Linked DNA regions of Macaca fascicularis. The main gene of each other region encodes a partner of the protein of the gene in region 3 in a complex. Links are inferred from orthologs where the notes say so. Each region holds a gene or a part of one and is shown on either strand. Other genes may lie near its edges. The genes, in order: CACNA1C, CACNG1 and CACNB3.

Evidence for each region.
Region 1: CACNB3 (region 3) and CACNA1C share a complex: the UniProt entries of both Homo sapiens proteins name them as parts of the calcium channel complex. The link is inferred for Macaca fascicularis from reciprocal best matches to the Homo sapiens genes CACNB3 and CACNA1C.
Region 2: CACNB3 (region 3) and CACNG1 share a complex: the UniProt entries of both Homo sapiens proteins name them as parts of the calcium channel complex. The link is inferred for Macaca fascicularis from reciprocal best matches to the Homo sapiens genes CACNB3 and CACNG1.

The regions. Positions count from the first base shown.
Region 1 is NC_088385.1:2,817,372-2,823,192, reverse strand, and holds the start of CACNA1C (voltage-dependent L-type calcium channel subunit alpha-1C), read right to left. Parts: upstream 3,759-5,821; 5' UTR 3,474-3,758; coding exon 3,335-3,473; intron 1,445-3,334; exon of another isoform or gene 1,283-1,444; intron 1-1,282. UniProt on the Homo sapiens protein: Pore-forming, alpha-1C subunit of the voltage-gated calcium channel that gives rise to L-type calcium currents. Mediates influx of calcium ions into the cytoplasm, and thereby triggers calcium release from the sarcoplasm.
Region 2 is NC_088390.1:73,486,523-73,491,256, reverse strand, and holds the end of CACNG1 (voltage-dependent calcium channel gamma-1 subunit), read right to left. Parts: intron 3,085-4,734; coding exon 2,947-3,084; intron 2,141-2,946; coding exon 1,914-2,140; 3' UTR 1,384-1,913; downstream 1-1,383. UniProt on the Homo sapiens protein: Regulatory subunit of the voltage-gated calcium channel that gives rise to L-type calcium currents in skeletal muscle. Regulates channel inactivation kinetics.
Region 3 is NC_088385.1:55,626,583-55,632,403, reverse strand, and holds the start of CACNB3 (voltage-dependent L-type calcium channel subunit beta-3), read right to left. Parts: upstream 3,140-5,821; 5' UTR 2,733-3,139; coding exon of another isoform or gene 2,688-2,732; intron 2,027-2,687; 5' UTR 1,960-2,026; exon of another isoform or gene 1,836-1,959; 5' UTR 1,772-1,835; coding exon 1,718-1,771; intron 1-1,717. UniProt on the Homo sapiens protein: Regulatory subunit of the voltage-gated calcium channel that gives rise to L-type calcium currents. Increases CACNA1B peak calcium current and shifts the voltage dependencies of channel activation and inactivation.

The DNA.
Region 1 (5,821 bases), about 53 Mb from region 3:
GTAGTCAATCAGGAAAAATGGTATATGGTAGGGTTGTAATAATAAATACACATTAAATGAGTACATTAGTGCCTACATAGTGCTGAATCAATCGAAATATATAGTCTTTGGGAGCTCATAGCCTAATGACAGAATCCCATCAACATTACTTAAGCATAAGAAGGTAAAGCATTTGAAGCAAAATAAACTCTCAGTGAAGGTTGAAGGAGAACAAAAGGGGTGATGTGAGGAGACTGTCCATGCTGAAATCTCTAGTAGAAGGTGTAATCAATTGATAGAGAATTCTAGCATATCTGATCCACGTTTAATTATTCCAGGAAGTGATAATTATTGATATCAACAATTATAAGGATTATTGATGGTAGAAGAGCTTGAAGTCTTAGACTTCAGTTCAACTTGGCACGTATTTGTTGAATGTCTGCACATGCTGGTTGCTGTACTGGGTGTATTAACAAAGTCCTCCCCTCCAGTAGCTTATAGTCTAGTGGAGGGAACAGATTTATAAATGCTTAATTTATTACCTTTTTTAGTACAAGGATGTACAAAAAAAACTACAGGAGCAAAGAAAAAGTTGGGACTGTTTATCCCTAGAGGAGTGAGAAAGCCTGAGTCTTCAAGGATGAGTAGAGAGAAGGAAAAGATGTATTAGGGACTCCCTGCATGATATTTGTGGCCAAGGAGATTTTGAAATTTATCAGCAAGATTATGAACAAATGAAAATATAAATTTAAGTGGCCAATAAAGCAGAATAAGTTGTTTCTATTTATATTTGTTACCAACTGTGGACTTTTCAGCTTCCTAACTTTTAAAAGTTTATTTACTCTGTTATATCTCTTAGATTAAAGGAACAAATAAAACTAGGAAATTAGTATATGATGAAAAAGATCCCATATGACCTCTGGTAAACCTGAGGGTAGTAGATGACCTCAAGTTTCCCAGTTTAGGAAGATAATGACCTCTGTGAAGATTAGGAAGATTGAATGATATAACATGAATCCATTATGAATTAAAACTTTCTAAAAGATTAAATCCATCTTTTACTGGGAAAGTAATAAATTCTCATTTATAGTTGGAGAGTACATATTAATTTAATCCAAATTAGTATAAAGCTTTAATTAAGATAGTTTTGTTTGTTTTTAATGGCATTAACTTTCTAATAACGTTAATTTATTTAGAAAGGGGAAGGTTGTTACTACTGTTTCCCCCAAAATGTTCATGAGTATTAGTCACCCGTAAAATAGAAACTGCTTCTCATCTGCTTTGAACCTTTCATTCTTCCCAGGTCATGGGATCACTGATTTGTGAGGTGCAGTAAAACCATGTCATATGAAGAGAAGCAGACCAAGGGCCAAAGATAACAGTGCTACGTAGACTCTCAGTGGCCAGTGAAGATTTTATTTTACAAGATTGTGTCCGTGTTTGGTCAGTAAAGCTAAGGCGGAAGGTGAATGGAAGAACATTACTTTAAAGGCATTAGAGAACATGCTGGAGGAAAGCATTTTGAGTGCAAACATTCCAAATGGGGAAGAAGTACAGAATCCGCATAGAGCCGGCCAAACACAGCCTGTGTTTCCCATCTATGGATGCCAGCACGCAGGCAGCGTCACTGCTGCTCGAGTGTTTACTGCTGTGAAAACATTGCCACTACCAGAAAGCTTAATTCCCTTCTTCTTTCTTTTCTCTCTTTTTCTCCCCCTCCGTCCCTCCCTTCCTCACTGATCTCCGCCCCCCCTTCATTCCATCCTTCTTTTTTTCCTTTAGAGAGTCCACATGAACTTTGGTTTAAAAAGACTAATTCCAGTCTTTTATAACCAAGCCTAGAACTCAATCCAATATGTAAAAACAAATTTGAATGCTTCATCTATTTCATTTGAAAGGCTAGGAGAAGGGCATATTTTAGGGGAAACAGATTAAACCAAGAAAAATGACTTTGGCTAGCTTGTTTAGCCTTGTTAGACCACAGATTCCTCATTAGGGAAATAGGTTATTGAACTGCATGCTTCTTACCTGACTTCTGGCTCTAAAATTTCATGGTTCTATTTTTCTGTTTTTTTTAAAAATATCTTGAGGTCTTTCAAATGCCTAGTAACTGTGTGTGCATGTGTACTACCATATGCTAGTAAGTAGTCATCATCAGGATGGCCAAATTTATTAAAGCTTGATCTAGATAAATGGTACAGTAAATCAAGAAATACTATATTTGAATGAAATCTCAGAAACAAGTGTTTACACAAATATATGATTAGATGTTCTCCATCCTTACATTGAAAATACTATTCTACTCTTTTGAGAAAGACTTCATGAAAGGAATGGAGTTTGAAGGAATTTTTAAATTTTTGGTTTATCCTTAGATGCCCAGAAGAGGTTTGTGTAATTTAACACTCCCTTGTTTCCATGGCTTTCCAAGTAAAAAGAAGGAACTTAAATGCTTTCCTTGCTGGATACTAAGAAAAACATATTTCCCTATCCTTTTGAGAGGAATTAGTGAAATTATATTAGAAAGAACATTACCAAATCAGATGTCCTGCCTATTTAAATTTTACCCGTGTAATTATGTGTTTATCATCCACTTCCTAATTGAATGGATATATATCTTCTTTTAAAAATTTACACAAACATTATCACATGTCCTCATTAGACAATTATAAGCTATCATTCATGATTTGGAGTTGTATGGTATCCGGGTAAAATATAAAACAAATTATAAATATCTTAAAAGAACAGATCGAACAGAAGTATTAGGAACATAAACAAGATGAGGCAAATCCCCAAAGAACATGTAAAATGAACTAATGCACCATGCTAATAAGAATCAAAGGGTTACAAATGAAAATGTGCATTTGAGTGACATTGATACCACCTTTAATGGCCTCTTAACTAGCCTCTTAAAATTTGACCAGCTTTTTATTTTTCCACTGAAGAAATTTAAAAAAGAAAACACCACTATTGAATATAATCAGCTTGCTCTCTGCCTTGTCTTTGTGGACCTACAAAATCCAGACATGAAGTCTAATACGGAAATTTTGATCTCCTTGATCTTTCTGACAGAGTTAAAAGGAAAGTAAAAGATTGGTGTTTTATTATGTAAAGGCAGTATTGCATTTCCTGTTGCCTCAAACATCACTTTTTTTCAATTGAGAATTTCCAAAGAACGGCATAAACCAGGATGGTGCAGTTATAGGCAAAATTTCACAACGGTGTGTGGTAAATCCTGATTAAATATGGAGAGATGAGTTCTTAGAGTGAGGCAGTCACATTCTAAGTATCATTAGAATATTTAGAGTAAATTTCCACATGTTCTTCCTACTCTTTATTTCGCTTTAGGGTTTCTTACCTCCAGGAGAGATGTAGAAATAGTTGAGTTGAGCTTCGTGCACCAAAGTACCCTTAAACTTGACCTCCGTGTCGGCAGACAGGTGGCTGGGAAGCGGCTGGTATGCAGGCGTACCAGGCTGAACAAAGGCTCGAAGCATTGTGAATTTCCAGTTGTAATTAATTGGTTGATTTTTAAAGCTAAATAATTACCCTGCTCATGATCTCTTGTAATTTTTTAAAACCCAGAAGCCATTCCTGCAGTAACATTTCAGTGCCACAAAAGTTTACATGGCCATATCATATCGCTGCAAGTTTAGGTTACAGTAAAATTACTTTTAAATTTTAGAATTCTAAACAAAACAAAACAAAACACCTTCTTGCTTGATTCTTTTCAACCTTGTATTTTCTGTCTTCCCTGCTCTGCTCCCAGCCTATGTAGGGATGGGCCTCTCACCCAGTGGCTTTACGGGAAAACTTGGATTGAAATGTGAACTTCATGGTTTCTGTCAGCCTGTCAGCTCATCACCTCCCTAAGGCATGATGATCTCTGGCTTTTATATATCTCCACAGACTGCTTTGATAGACCCTCTTGTGTGGAAGAGTGATAGGTTTGTCCAGGGGTTGGTAGACCTTAGGGCTAAGAGGCAGGAAACTTCAGTTGGAATGCGAACTTTAATGGAATTCACAGCCTCTTTCCCAGGGGAATGCAGCTCAAGTTGCAAAACTATTTTAGGGAGAAGAAAGTTAGGCCCAGTTCTGCATTTTATCTTGGTGCCACTTTTTGGTAGCCAGAACTCTTGGTTAATGTTTCTTTTTCCTCCTTGGCTATTTAAATTTTCTGTCCAGACTAAACTGGGATCAAAAGAGTTATCTCAAAATGATCTCATTTTAATTTTTAAAGCCATGTTGCTTTGGAGATAAATGATTGGGTCCTAAAGAAGGTCTTCACAGTGTCTTCAATAATTACTGCAAGCTCAGTCTTTCCTTCATTTTGCTTTGACATCTGAAAGATGTTCCATGGCATTTTCCCTCCCTAAGTCTGCATTTCAGTTATCTCGTGGTAATGACAATGTCAGACTGTTTTTCTGTTTGTATCAACAGTTTTCTTGGCATACCACCCTTACAAAAGCCTAATTCCTTATGTCAGATGCCACAAATGTATAACATCAAACAAAAGATACCCAAAATATTCCTATTACTAGAGCCTACTCATGAGACAACAATGGCCGGCTTTTCCTCTGCCGTTGGGCCTCGTGTTTCTGAGTTATGCTCTATTTTTCTCCCTTACTGCCACCTTTCTCCTTTGATAGTTTTGGAAAAGTCAGTCTTCAAGGAAAGAAAACTTACACTGTAACCAAAAAAATAGACCAGGCTTCTAGTTTTGTGACTAAGGTTAAAGTCACCAAGACACACAAACATATTCAGATTTATTAAGTGGTTGAACATCAGTGTTCCAGTCTGCTTTGACTTCAAGAACGTGAGGGTAGGCAGGTTAGTGTGGGAATCTGTGTAGGGAATCAGAGTAGGGAATTACTGTTGATGGACTGGAAGCAACCTTGAATATGAAGTTTCAAGATACACATTCAGTGATCTTGAGATAAAAGAATTTTGTTTTGATGTAAAACCTCTCATAGCACATGGGCTTCAGAACTCAGATGTTCTTTAAAAAAAAAAAAAAAAGTCAGTGTACCAAGGAGGAAAATGTGTATGTATTTTCACCTAAGAGAGTAAAATGGTCCTCTTCAAGGAAAAGCTGGAATCTTTTCCCCTACTTCCCCCCTACTTCACATGCAGGTAGGTAAGATAAGATAAAAGATTTCTGGTACACCGATAATTGCAAAACAAAGTTTAAAGCCCTATTGCCACCTTTTGGCAAGTTAGTAATTCAGATTCATAGGTTCCTCTTTAAGATACCTGCTTAAAATAGCACTATACAGACCTTTCTTGTACCTTTTGATATCTGAATCATTACTGACGAGAAGCAGAAATTCCATGCCCACACATTGGTCAGGTAAGAGGAGAAAAAAGATGTAGTTAGAATATCACAGCTGTTTTAACAGCAAAATACTATTAATATAATTACGTGTTTGGAAAGTTTGAATTTGAAGTCTTTTTTCCCTTTTAAAAACATGTTTTGTTGGTTTTCATTGCCCTATCATAATATTGTTGCTATTTTCACTGAAGATTTTTAAAATGTGTATGTAGTTAATGTATTACTTAGATGATTAATGCCATCAGATCCTCAACTAGTTAGTTATAAACGTCTTTTGGAGCTGTTTCAGCCTTTACTATAAAAATGATATAGATAGGCACGTACTAAGGTGTACAACTTATTTGAACGTTATTAAATGAATCAATAGCAGGTATATTATGTCACAGTTCCTTTCATTACTAAGTGATGAAATCATAGTCATATCTAATCTTTCAGCAGGTGTAAATTTTCTGTACCATTTTGAAGCCAGAGATTTATTATTAAGTTTTATTTTTTCCAGTGGCCTCTCCCTAA
Region 2 (4,734 bases), on a different chromosome or scaffold from region 3:
AAGGGGTTGATATGTGGGCTGATGTTTGTACAGTTTTTCTCCAGAACAAGGGTAAACACACGTTTTTATACAGGGTCAGATAGTAAATATTTTCAGCATTGCAGGACAGAAGATCTCTGTTGAAACTACTCAATGGTGACGAAAGCAGCCACAGAATGGGTGTGGCTGGGTTCTAATCTAACTTTATTTACAGACATTGAGATGTGAATTTCGTATCATCTTCATATGTCATGAGAGATTCTTCTTCTTTTTATCTTTAAATTATTTTATTTTTATTTTTTGTAGAGATGGAGTCTTGCTATGTTGCCCAGTGTGGTCTCAAACTCCTGGACTCAAACAGTCCTCTTGCCTCAGCCTTCCAAAGTACTGAGATTATAGGTGTGAGCCACGATGCCCAGTTCCTTGATTGTTTTGGGTTTTTTTTTTTTAATGTTTTGAGATGGAGTCTCACTCTGTTGCCCAGGCTGGAGTGCAATGGCGTAATCTTGGCTCACTGCAACCTCCGCCCCCCCGGGTTCAAGCGATTCTCCTGCCTCAGCCTGCTGAGTAGCTGGGATTACAGGTGCACACCACCACGCCTGGCTAATTTTTTGTGTTTTTAATAGAGATGGGGTTTCATCATCTTGGCCAGGCTGGTCTTGAACTCCTGACCTCGTGATCCACCCACCTTGGCCTCCCAAAGTGTTGGGATTTACAGGTGTGAGCCACTGAGCCTGGCTTTTTTTTTTTTTTTAATTTAATGTTTTGAACAATTTAAAACTGTAAAAACTACCTTTTACTTGTGGGCCATACAGCAAGAGGGGGCAGGCCAGGTGTGGCCAACAGGCCACAGTTTGCCAAACCTTGCCCTAGGAGCATGAACTCCAGTGGGTTCTCCAGGGTGCAAGGCAAAGATCCCATCTGCCAATCATGTCTGAACTCCACTTCGGAAGCTTGGGCAAGTACTGTGGGGCTCTGGAAGGCAGAAGTGTGCAAATCATGGCTTTTCATGTGGCCCTAAGCATCTAACTGCTAAGCCCTGCTTCCTGATGTTCTTCACAACAGAAATCCAGCATCAGAAATCAGACACTGGCTGGCTGCTTTAGCGCTGCGTTGGCACCAGGTGCGTTGCATGCCAGGCTCTAGAAATAACCCCTCCTATTTTTAACACCCTTGCTTCATCAGAAGGTTTCTAGTTTCTCCCGAAAACAATCTCAGGGCCTAGAGAAACCCTGTCTGAGTTGGAATTCAGAGCCTCTAAGCCACGTGTGTTGCCCTCTTGTCCCCACAAAAGTCCTCAACGTACCCGGGTGACCTGCCTTCCCTTCTCATTCCGCGTCAGGGGGCCCCTGATGTGACCAGGAATCTGAGCAATTTCTATGCAAGGTGTGAAGAAAACGTGAGTTTTCTGAGAGCTTTTTATTTCAAGCCACAGACAGATTCTACTCAGTTAAAAATGCTTCCCAGGGCTCCTGGAAGCCAAGGAGGGGACGCTGCGCTCACCAGAGAGGGTGTGTTTTATCACTGAGAAAGGGAGGGGCTGGCTATTTACACAGAACACCAAGAACTGGCAAACACAGGTTGTCCCTGCAATGTTCATAAAGGACAACCGGAGGCAGCTTATCAGAGGCTGGTACAGTGGGGACACCTCTGAGCTCCAGGGGAAGTGGGGCCCTTGCAAACACCTGTCCACCTGCTGGCCCTGCCTTTCCCAACTGTGGCCAGATTGAGACTGACATCCTCTTGCTCTATTCCCAGGGGAGCCTGCGGCAGCCCAGAGGAGCTCAGAGAGAGGAAGCAGCCTGCGACTGTGGCAGGGGGCAGATGGGAGCAGGGTGGAGCTAAAATTGCTCCCGCCTCCCCTCTGGAAGGTTCCGGGCTGAGACATGGCTTCCTGGAGAAGAAGCCTGAGGGTCGCTAGGGCCACAGGAGGGCTAGTGCTCAGGCTCAGCATCCATGCAGGACTCCCATGGGTTCCGGGGCATTCGAGGCAGGGAGAACAGCAGGAGGGCGAGACCACTGAGGAAGAGGAGGACGAAGGCAGCACAGGCGCAGGCGAAGGACCAGGAGTAATAGTACTCGATCCAGACGGTGTCCTCACTGTCAATCATGCGCTTCACCGACTGCCGCATGACCTCTACCGAGACCAGGATGCAGAGACCTGGGGGCGGAGCCAGGTACGCTCAGGGACCGACGGGTGCCTGCCGTTACCCCCAGCCCCACCCCAGCCTGTGTGCATGGAGGAGGCAGTGACCTTGCCTTGGGGGAAAAGCTGCCTCAAGGCAGGTTCTAGCTGGGAGCCTGCAGAAGGATCCATTTGTCCACGCACCACCCTATTCCTGCATCCCTTAGAAGGACGACCACATGGCCGGGTACGGTGGCTCATGCCTGTAATCCCAGCACTTTGGGAGGCTGAGGCAGGAGGATCGCTTGAGGCCAGGAGTTTGAGACTAGCCTGGGCAACATAGTGATGAGCCCTCTGTCTCTACAAAAAATTAAAATGTAATAAAAACTTAGCCAGGTGTGGTGGTGCACGTCTGTAGTCCCAGGTACTCAGGAGGCTGAGGCGGGAGGAACCCTTCAACTCAGGAGTTCGAGGCTGCAGTGAGCTGTGATCGTTCCACTGCACTCCAGCCTGGGCGACAGAGCGAGACCCTCTTCCTCATCCCCCAAGAAAAAGAAAGAAAGGCGACCACGTTTCTTTCCTTCTTCTGTTAATCATTCTCTGGGCAGTTTCTTTGGGGCCTTGAGGGTTGAATCATGGGGAGGAATGGACAGACCGCCAAGCTCTGTCTCCCTCCAGCCCACCTGGGGTCGCTGAGGGCTTGGCCAGGTTTGCCCCTGGATGGGGATGGAGCCTGGGAAATGCCCCCCACCCAAATCCCACAGTGGGCATGAGAGTGGAGCGGAGAATCCCCCACGACATGGTCCCCCCAGTCCGGTGCTCGGGCGGAGCCCCCAGTCTACCTGCAAAAGCGTAGAACATGGACGCGGGCCGCAGCAGGTAGTCCCTCTTCTTCCCGAAGGACAGGAGGACACAGAGGCTGCCCAGGATGACGAAGCCAAGGCTGAAGATGGCGATGGCGGCTGCCGAGATGCTGTACTCTGCAAACACAAGGGACACCCGGCATGCGGCCTCAGTCCAGGAGCTCTCATGGTGGCTGGTTAGGGACCACCCCATGCACCACAATTCCCATCTCACACACGAGAAAGCCGACAGCCCCAGGGGCCAAGTCCTTCCCTAAGGCCCACGCAGAGCCAGGCTGCCATGGGGCTTCTTCTACCCATGTCTTCCCAGAGCATCAGGCTGCAAGGTCCCCACCGGGGGCAGAGGCGAGAGGCAAGTGGCTGGAGGCCTTTCCAGAGCAGAAACTTTCCTCGAGTGACAGGGCAGGAGGCACTGGGGTGGCAGGTGGTCTGCCTGGGGTTAAGGAGCAAAGGACCACAGGGTGGCTTGTCACGCAGCCCGGTGCACGTGAGGCTCTGCCAGTGTGTGTAGCAGTGTGCGCGTCTGTGTGTGGTTAGTGTGTGTGTTCATGTATGTGTCACATATGTGAGGATCTGTCAGAATGTGTTAGTGTCTGCGTATGGTAGTGTGTGCATGTGTATCTGGGTCTGTCAGTGTGTTGGTGTGTCACTGTGTGTATGTGTGTCTGCATGTGCTGGTGTGTACATGTATCTGTGCATGTTAGTGTCTGTGTCATTGCCTGTGTGTCACTGTGTCTTGTGTCATTGTGTCTCGTGTGTCATTGTGTGTCACTGCATGTCATGTGCATGTCAATGTACATGTGTGTCAGTGTGTCTCTGTGTCTTGTGTGTGTGTCATTGTGTGTATGTCATGGTACATGTGTCAGTGTGTGTCTCTGTGTGTGTCTTGTGTCATTGTGTTGTGTCATTGTGTCAGTATGTGTTTCTGTGTGTCTTGTGTGGGTGTCATTGTGTGGGTGTCATTGTACGTGTGTGTGTCTCTGTGTGTCTGTCTTGTGTGTCATTGTGTCAGTCTTGTGTGTGTCACTGTGTCTTGTGTGTGTCATTGTGTGTCACTGCATGTCGTGTGCATGTCATTGTACATGTGTGTCAGTGTGTCTCTGTGTGTCTTGTGTGTGTCATTGTGTGTATGTCATGGTACGTATGTCAGTGTGTGTCTCTGTATCTTGTGTCATTGTGTCAGTATGTGTTTCTGTGTGTCTTGTGTGGGTCTCATTGTGTGGGTGTCATTGTACATGTGTGTGTGTCTCTGTGTGTCTATGTGTCTTGTGTGTCATTGTGTGTGTCATTGTCTTGTGTGTGTCACTGTGTCTTGTGTGTGTCATTGTGTGTCATTGTGTGGTGTGTGTGTCATTGTGTGGTGTCATGTGTGTCATTGTGTCATTTTGTGTGTCATTGTGTGTAATTGTGTGTGTCATTGTATATGTGTCTCAATGTGTGTTTCTGTGTGTGCCTGTGTCTTGTGTGTGTAACTGTGTGTGTAATTGTGTCAGTATGTCATGTGTGTCATTTTGTGTGTTATTGTACATGTGTGTCAGTGTGTCTCTGTGTGTGTGCCTTGTGTGTGTCATTGTCTTGTGTATGTATCATCGTGTGTGTCATTGTGTGTGTCATTGCCTGTGTGTCATTGTATGTCTGTGTGTCATTGCCTGTGTGTCACTGTGTGTGTGTCATTGTACATGTGTCAGTGTGTGTGTCTGTGTGTCTGTGTCTTGTGTGTGTCATTGTATGTGTGTATCTGTGTTGTGTGTGTCTGTGTGTGTCACT
Region 3 (5,821 bases):
AGGCGTGCACTACCATGCCTACTAGTTTTTTGTAGAGACAGGATCTTGCTATTTTGCCTAGGCTGGTCTCAAACTCCTGGGCTTAAGCCATCTTCCTACCTTAGCCTCGCAAAGCACTGAGATTATAGGCATGAGTCTCTGTGCCTGGTTTAATTTAGTAATTTTTTTTTTTGAGACGGAGTCTTACTGTGATGCCCAGGCTGGAGTGTAATGGCGTGATGTTGGCTCACTGCAACCTCTGCCTCCAGGATTCAAGCATTTCTCCTGCCCCAGCCTCCTGAGTGGTTGGGACTACAGGCATGCGCCACCATGCTAGGCTAATTTCTGTATTTTTAGGAGACACGGGCTTTCACCATATTGGCCAGGCTGGTTTCCAACTCCTGACCTCAAGTGATCCGCCCGGCTTGGCCACCCAAAGCGCTGGGATTACAGGCCTGAGCCACCTTGCGGCCTAATTTAGTAGTAATAACGCCTGGGGCATCTGGGGTTACCTGACCTCTCACCCTGGGATGGGAATCACAGGATCTCTCCCTAAATAATTTTTTTTTTTTTTTTTTGAGACGGAGTCTCACGCTGTTGCCCAGGCTGGAGTGCAGTGGCGCGATCTCGGCTCACTGCAAGCTCCGCCTCCCGGGTTCCCGCCATTCTCCTGCCTCAGCCTCCTGAGTAGCTGGGACTACAGGCGCCCGCCACCGCGCCCGGCTAATTTTTTGTATTTTTAGTAGAGACGGGGTTTCACTGTGGTCTCGATCTCCTGACCTTGTGATCCGCCCGCCTCGGCCTCCCAAAGTGCTGGGATTACAGGCTTGAGCCACCGCGCCCGGCCGTCTCTCCCTAAATAATTAATGAGTTGTGCTCAGAATGGAAGCCCCTCTCCATTACTTCCAAGTCCTCCAGGCTAACTTATCTCTCGTGCTCCGGTATTACTTCGGGAGGCCAGGGCTGCCCTGCCAGGCATGATCTAGGGTCTTACCTTTCCTGTACCCTGCTATGCCAAAAGAGCCAGAGTGTCAGTACTTTGGAGCTGCCAGGAGTTGGCACAGTGCCCTGGTGGTGCCCCCCTTGCCTAGTGAGTGTGTGGGCAGGCTGCAGCTCCTCTCTTGCCTGGCACGGGGGAAGGAGAGGAGGGAGATGAGCCGTTGGATTTATTTAGAGCCTGATCTCCCTCCTACTGCTTCAGAGGGGGCCTCAGGGAGAGCAAGGAGCCAGGCAAGAGAAAGGGAGGTGGGGGAGGGTGATCAGGAGCCAGAGAGCGATGGGAGGGAGCAATGGGTCAGCAGGCTGTCCTCCAACACCATCCACATGTCAGTCTGTTCCTTGCAATAGCCCTTGCCTTCTCACCAGGGATGGGAAGAACCTCCTAGGGCCCTCCAGCCCCACAGAGAGGTTTGTTCTCAAGCTCACCTTGGCACCCTGGGCTATACCAGCTGTCCCTTCAACTGTCAGAAAGAGGTGTCCACCAGAGCCTTGAAAATGATCTGCTCTAGCAGCAATGTAATTACCCCAGAGGCCCCATGGAAAATTGGGCCCAGAAGGAGCCCAGTCCCAGAAAAGGACAGTTGCCTATTCTGAGCATCAGCACTCATCTATCCTGGGCCTGGCAGCAAGTGATGGGAGAAGACTGGAACATACTCCTCTTTCCGACCCAGGGGTGCTCCATCCTATCGGGACCCCTTCCAAGCCATCTATTGGTCCACTCCTAAGGAGGCCTTCTTACAGGACATTTGAGGGAAAGTTGGCAGCTCCAAGGGTCTGAGAAGCTGCTCCGCATTCTTGCCCCATCTTTCCAGGCACTCTCCCTGCTGTCTGAGCTCCGGGAATCACTGCTTAATGAGCTGATTTGTCTCAGTGGGTCAGGAGATAAAAGCAAAGAGGAGAATTAAATATTTATTGGTTGCCTGTTTCTCTGAGCAAAGCGCATCCTCTCCATCCCCAGGCCCTCAGCTCCTCTGGCCTCACCTCCAGGCCCTCCATGCTGGGCAAGAGCTCAGGATGCCCGCTGCTCAGAGGAAGCCTCAGCAGGGGGCTGTGGAATGGATGGGGCTCAGTCACCTGGCCTACCCATGTGCTGGGTGCCCAGGTTTCAGCCTGAGAGGGAAACTGGGCTAGAGAAAGGGTGAGGAGATGAGGCAGTGCGCAGAGATGGAGGGGGTAGAAGGGAATAATGGAGCTCCTCAAGTTTTAGGATCCCTCTGTCTAAAGAGGCTGGTCCCTGGCTCCCTGGTGTCCTCTCAGCTCCCTAATGTGTTGTTTGCTTGAGGCACAAGAGGTCCGGAATGTCTGCCTCCCCAACTACCTCGGCGGCTCTCCTAGCTGTTGTGTTCAGACCCCAGAAATCCAGAATTTGGAACTCCAGACATGGCGTGTTCCCTCTCCAGAGCCTCTGTGCCCTCGGCCTCCAGCCCTGCCTCCTCCCACCCCTCTTTCCTGGGCCGTGGAGCCACCTGCTTGAGCCCTTCCCCTATACTGCCCCCTCTCTGCACACACCCGATGCCCCAGGGTCTGAGTCTGGGTCGCTGGGGAGCGCTTGGCATGAAAATCCATCTCCCCACGTTTTTAGAGCGCCCCCCTACACACACTGCCCTGCCACTGAGGCGTTTTTCAAAGTCCTGAACTGGGGGAAGGGTTGAAGGGAGAGGAGGTGTCACCCCAACTTCCCCGCCCCCACCCTCACCGTGGGCACTCACCGCCTCCGAGTCCTCAAACCCGGGCACGTAGGAGTCGTCATACATGGGGGAGTCCGGGTGGGGGAAGCGAGCGGCGCCGGGGGCGGGAGCGGCCCGGAGGCAGGGGCGAGGACTGCGGGCCGCGCCCGGGAGATGCCACGGAGCCCCGCAGCCCTGCGGGCGGCGGCGGGGAGCGAGAGAGCGCGAAGGAGGGAGCGAGCCGCGAAGACCAGCTGCTCGGAGCTCAAATCACCGCTCCCCCCACCCCACCCCCCCAAACCCAGCCGGTCCCACCCCGAGCGCGGCTGAGGAATCTGGCGCCCGCTCCTACAACAATAGTGCCCGCCCACCTGACCCCCTCCCTGGGAGAAGGCGGGGGCGGCGAGGGGGCGGCGGCCACCGGGGAGCCCGGGCCAGGCCCGGAGAGGGGAACGGACCCGTGCTGGGTGGAAGGTGGGTCCCGGAGCACCTACGGGGCCTTGGCGGCTGGGAGGAAGGGGAGGAGAGGCTGCGGGCGGGGCGGATCCAGGCAGGGAGGAGGCGGGGCGAGGAGAGATGCGGAGACAGAGACGCTCGGCAACCCAGGAACTACTCCGCCGGGAAACAAAGGGCTGCGGCGGGGGAGGGAGGGGGCGCTGAGACCGCGAGGAAGACGCGACCCGGGCGGAGACTGGAGAGGGCGCAGGTGTCGAGGAAGCCGGAGAGAGAGAGGCAGAGGGAGGACGGAGAGGACAGGAAAATGGGGAGACCCTGGGAGACAGAAGAGGCGCGGGAACAAGCGGCAGACGGGGGAGGGGTCCCAGGCGACAGCAGTGCGGGTCTGGGCCCGTGCGTCCCGGAGGCTCCGAAGCAGACCCCGCAGTAGTCCCGGGGAGGAATGGGCTTAGTGCCCCCAGGCTAATGCCAGGACGGCAACTCCTGCCCCAACAGGTGCCCGGCCCCCTCAGTACGGGAACGCTGCGGCAAAGGCGGTGTTGCCTAGCCCTTGAGAAGGGAGGAACTTTCCGTGAGCTGGATAGGCCTCCCCACACCTGTTGCACAGATAGATTTCGTCTTAGTCCGGCCAGGATGGGGGTTCCGTTCCCCACTTCCCTGCCAAGGATCGTGCCAGACAGTGCCAAGGCATCCGTGGGAACTGGGTCAGAAAGGGGCTATTTTAGGTGAGCCTAAAGGGAGGGGAGAGAAACCAGAGGGTGGTGGTAGGGGATAGTTGTGGGTGGGATCCTGGCTACACTGGGGTTAGGAGAGGAAAGGGCCAGTCTCCTCAGAGTCACTAGGGTAAGGCCAGATTCTCCCCTCAGCAGAAGGGCTTGTACCACTCTGCACCACTCAGTCTCCTTCACAGGAACACTGAGATTTGAGGTAAGAGAGCCGCAGCCCTTATATTGAGGAAACTTTCCCCAAAGATCCACCCATTTGAGCTCTCTCCTTTTTTCATCTCCTGAGCAAAATTCCTTCTTTGATTTTTGACTGCCTACCTTTGTGCCCCACAAGGAGGACGTCCATAGACAGGGGTACACTTGGAGGCCTCCTGGTGCCCATGCCCTTGGCCCTGAGCTCAGTCCTTTTCCTTTCCCAATTTCTCACACCCGGGAGTTCAGCAATCTGCTCATCCCTCCTAGGCTTGAGGAGAATCAGACATCCAAAACTCTGACATAGCTTAATAAGATCTGTGGTAGAAGGCACTGTGCATGGGAGAGAGAAAGCCCACCCAAACCAAGTGGCTTCCCACCTGGGTCACTTATCGGTGTTATCTTAGCAAGAAAAAGAAGAGGCTTCATCTTCAGACTGACATCTTTAGTCTGTCTACTGTGGGTGGCCCAGAGCAGCCCTGCCCAGCACCTTCCTCATGCTGGGTTTGACAAACAACTTTGTTACAGCCCCTGTGGCTGAAGGGACGTCGCTATTGGGGGAGGCAGTCAGCTTTCACAGTTGCCTCTCCTGAGTCCAGCACCAATTGGGGTTTGGTCATATACTGGATTCGTATTGGAAGTTCCGACACTGCCCACTTTTGTGCCCTCACCCAGTTACTCAGTATTCCTTGTATCCCCCTCTTTCATCCTTTTCAATTCCTTCTGTCTTTCAGGGGCCGAGAGAGGTGTCGGAGAGTAAGACCCTCAAGGTGCTTTTCTCCTGGGAGATGGTTCTAATGAAGAAAGCAGTGGTGGAGGCAGCTGCTTCTCTTCCCATCCCTGCATCCACTCTCTTGGCCTCTCCTTTTGGGACTCTCCCACCCACAGAAGGTCCTGGGGCTGTAGGTAACAGCGGATCTGCCATGGGCAGCACTCCTTCCTCACACTCCTTGTAATCTGCGACAAGGTTGTCTAAGTCTGCTCCTGAGGCATGTGTTGCCATGCCAACCATCCCCAGGAGATGGATTCAAGTTCCTCATACCTGGCCCTTCCCCTGGGTCCTGCAGGAGCTTCAGAACTTCCCTCCTTCTCCTCATATCTCTGGGTTGCTACCCAATGCCCCTTTCCTTTCTCATCTCACCCACACCTGCCTACTCCAGTTGTAATGCCAACTTGGTGACTTCTTGTCCTGTGACACGACATGTGCCTGTCAGTATCCATGTAGCCCTAACCTCTTTTCTTTTTCATGGCTGGGCATAAAGGGAGAGAGCTGAGGGCAATAAAGGATCAGGGGAGAGGCTCCTCCTGCTGATTCTTTCTAGGAGAGAGTTGTTAGACTGGCAGCTGGCAGGTACCCAAGTCATGGAAGCAAGACATAAGAGAAAAACCCTGAATAATCAGGTTTGGGAGCTGGAGTTCTTGGGAGGTTTCAGAATATATTCTAGCTTCTCCTGTAAGTGCACCAGGAAGCTGGGCAGATCCCTGTCCCTGGGCACTGAATGGGGAAACTGAGGCAGAAGCTAGGCCTTCTGGGAAGACTTAAAGACTCCTCTCCAGCAGTTTTTTTTTTTTTTTTTTTTTTTGAGACGGAGTCTCGCTGTGTCTCCCAGGCTGGAGTGCAGTGGCGTGATCTCGGCTCACTGCAAGCTCCGCCTCCCGGGTTCACGCCATTCTCCCGCCTCAGCCTCCCAAGTATCTGAGACTACAGGCGCCCGCCACCACGCCCGGCTAGTTTTTTGTATTTTTAGTAGAGACGGGGTTTCACCATGTTAGCCAGGATAGTCTCGATCTCCTGACCTCGTG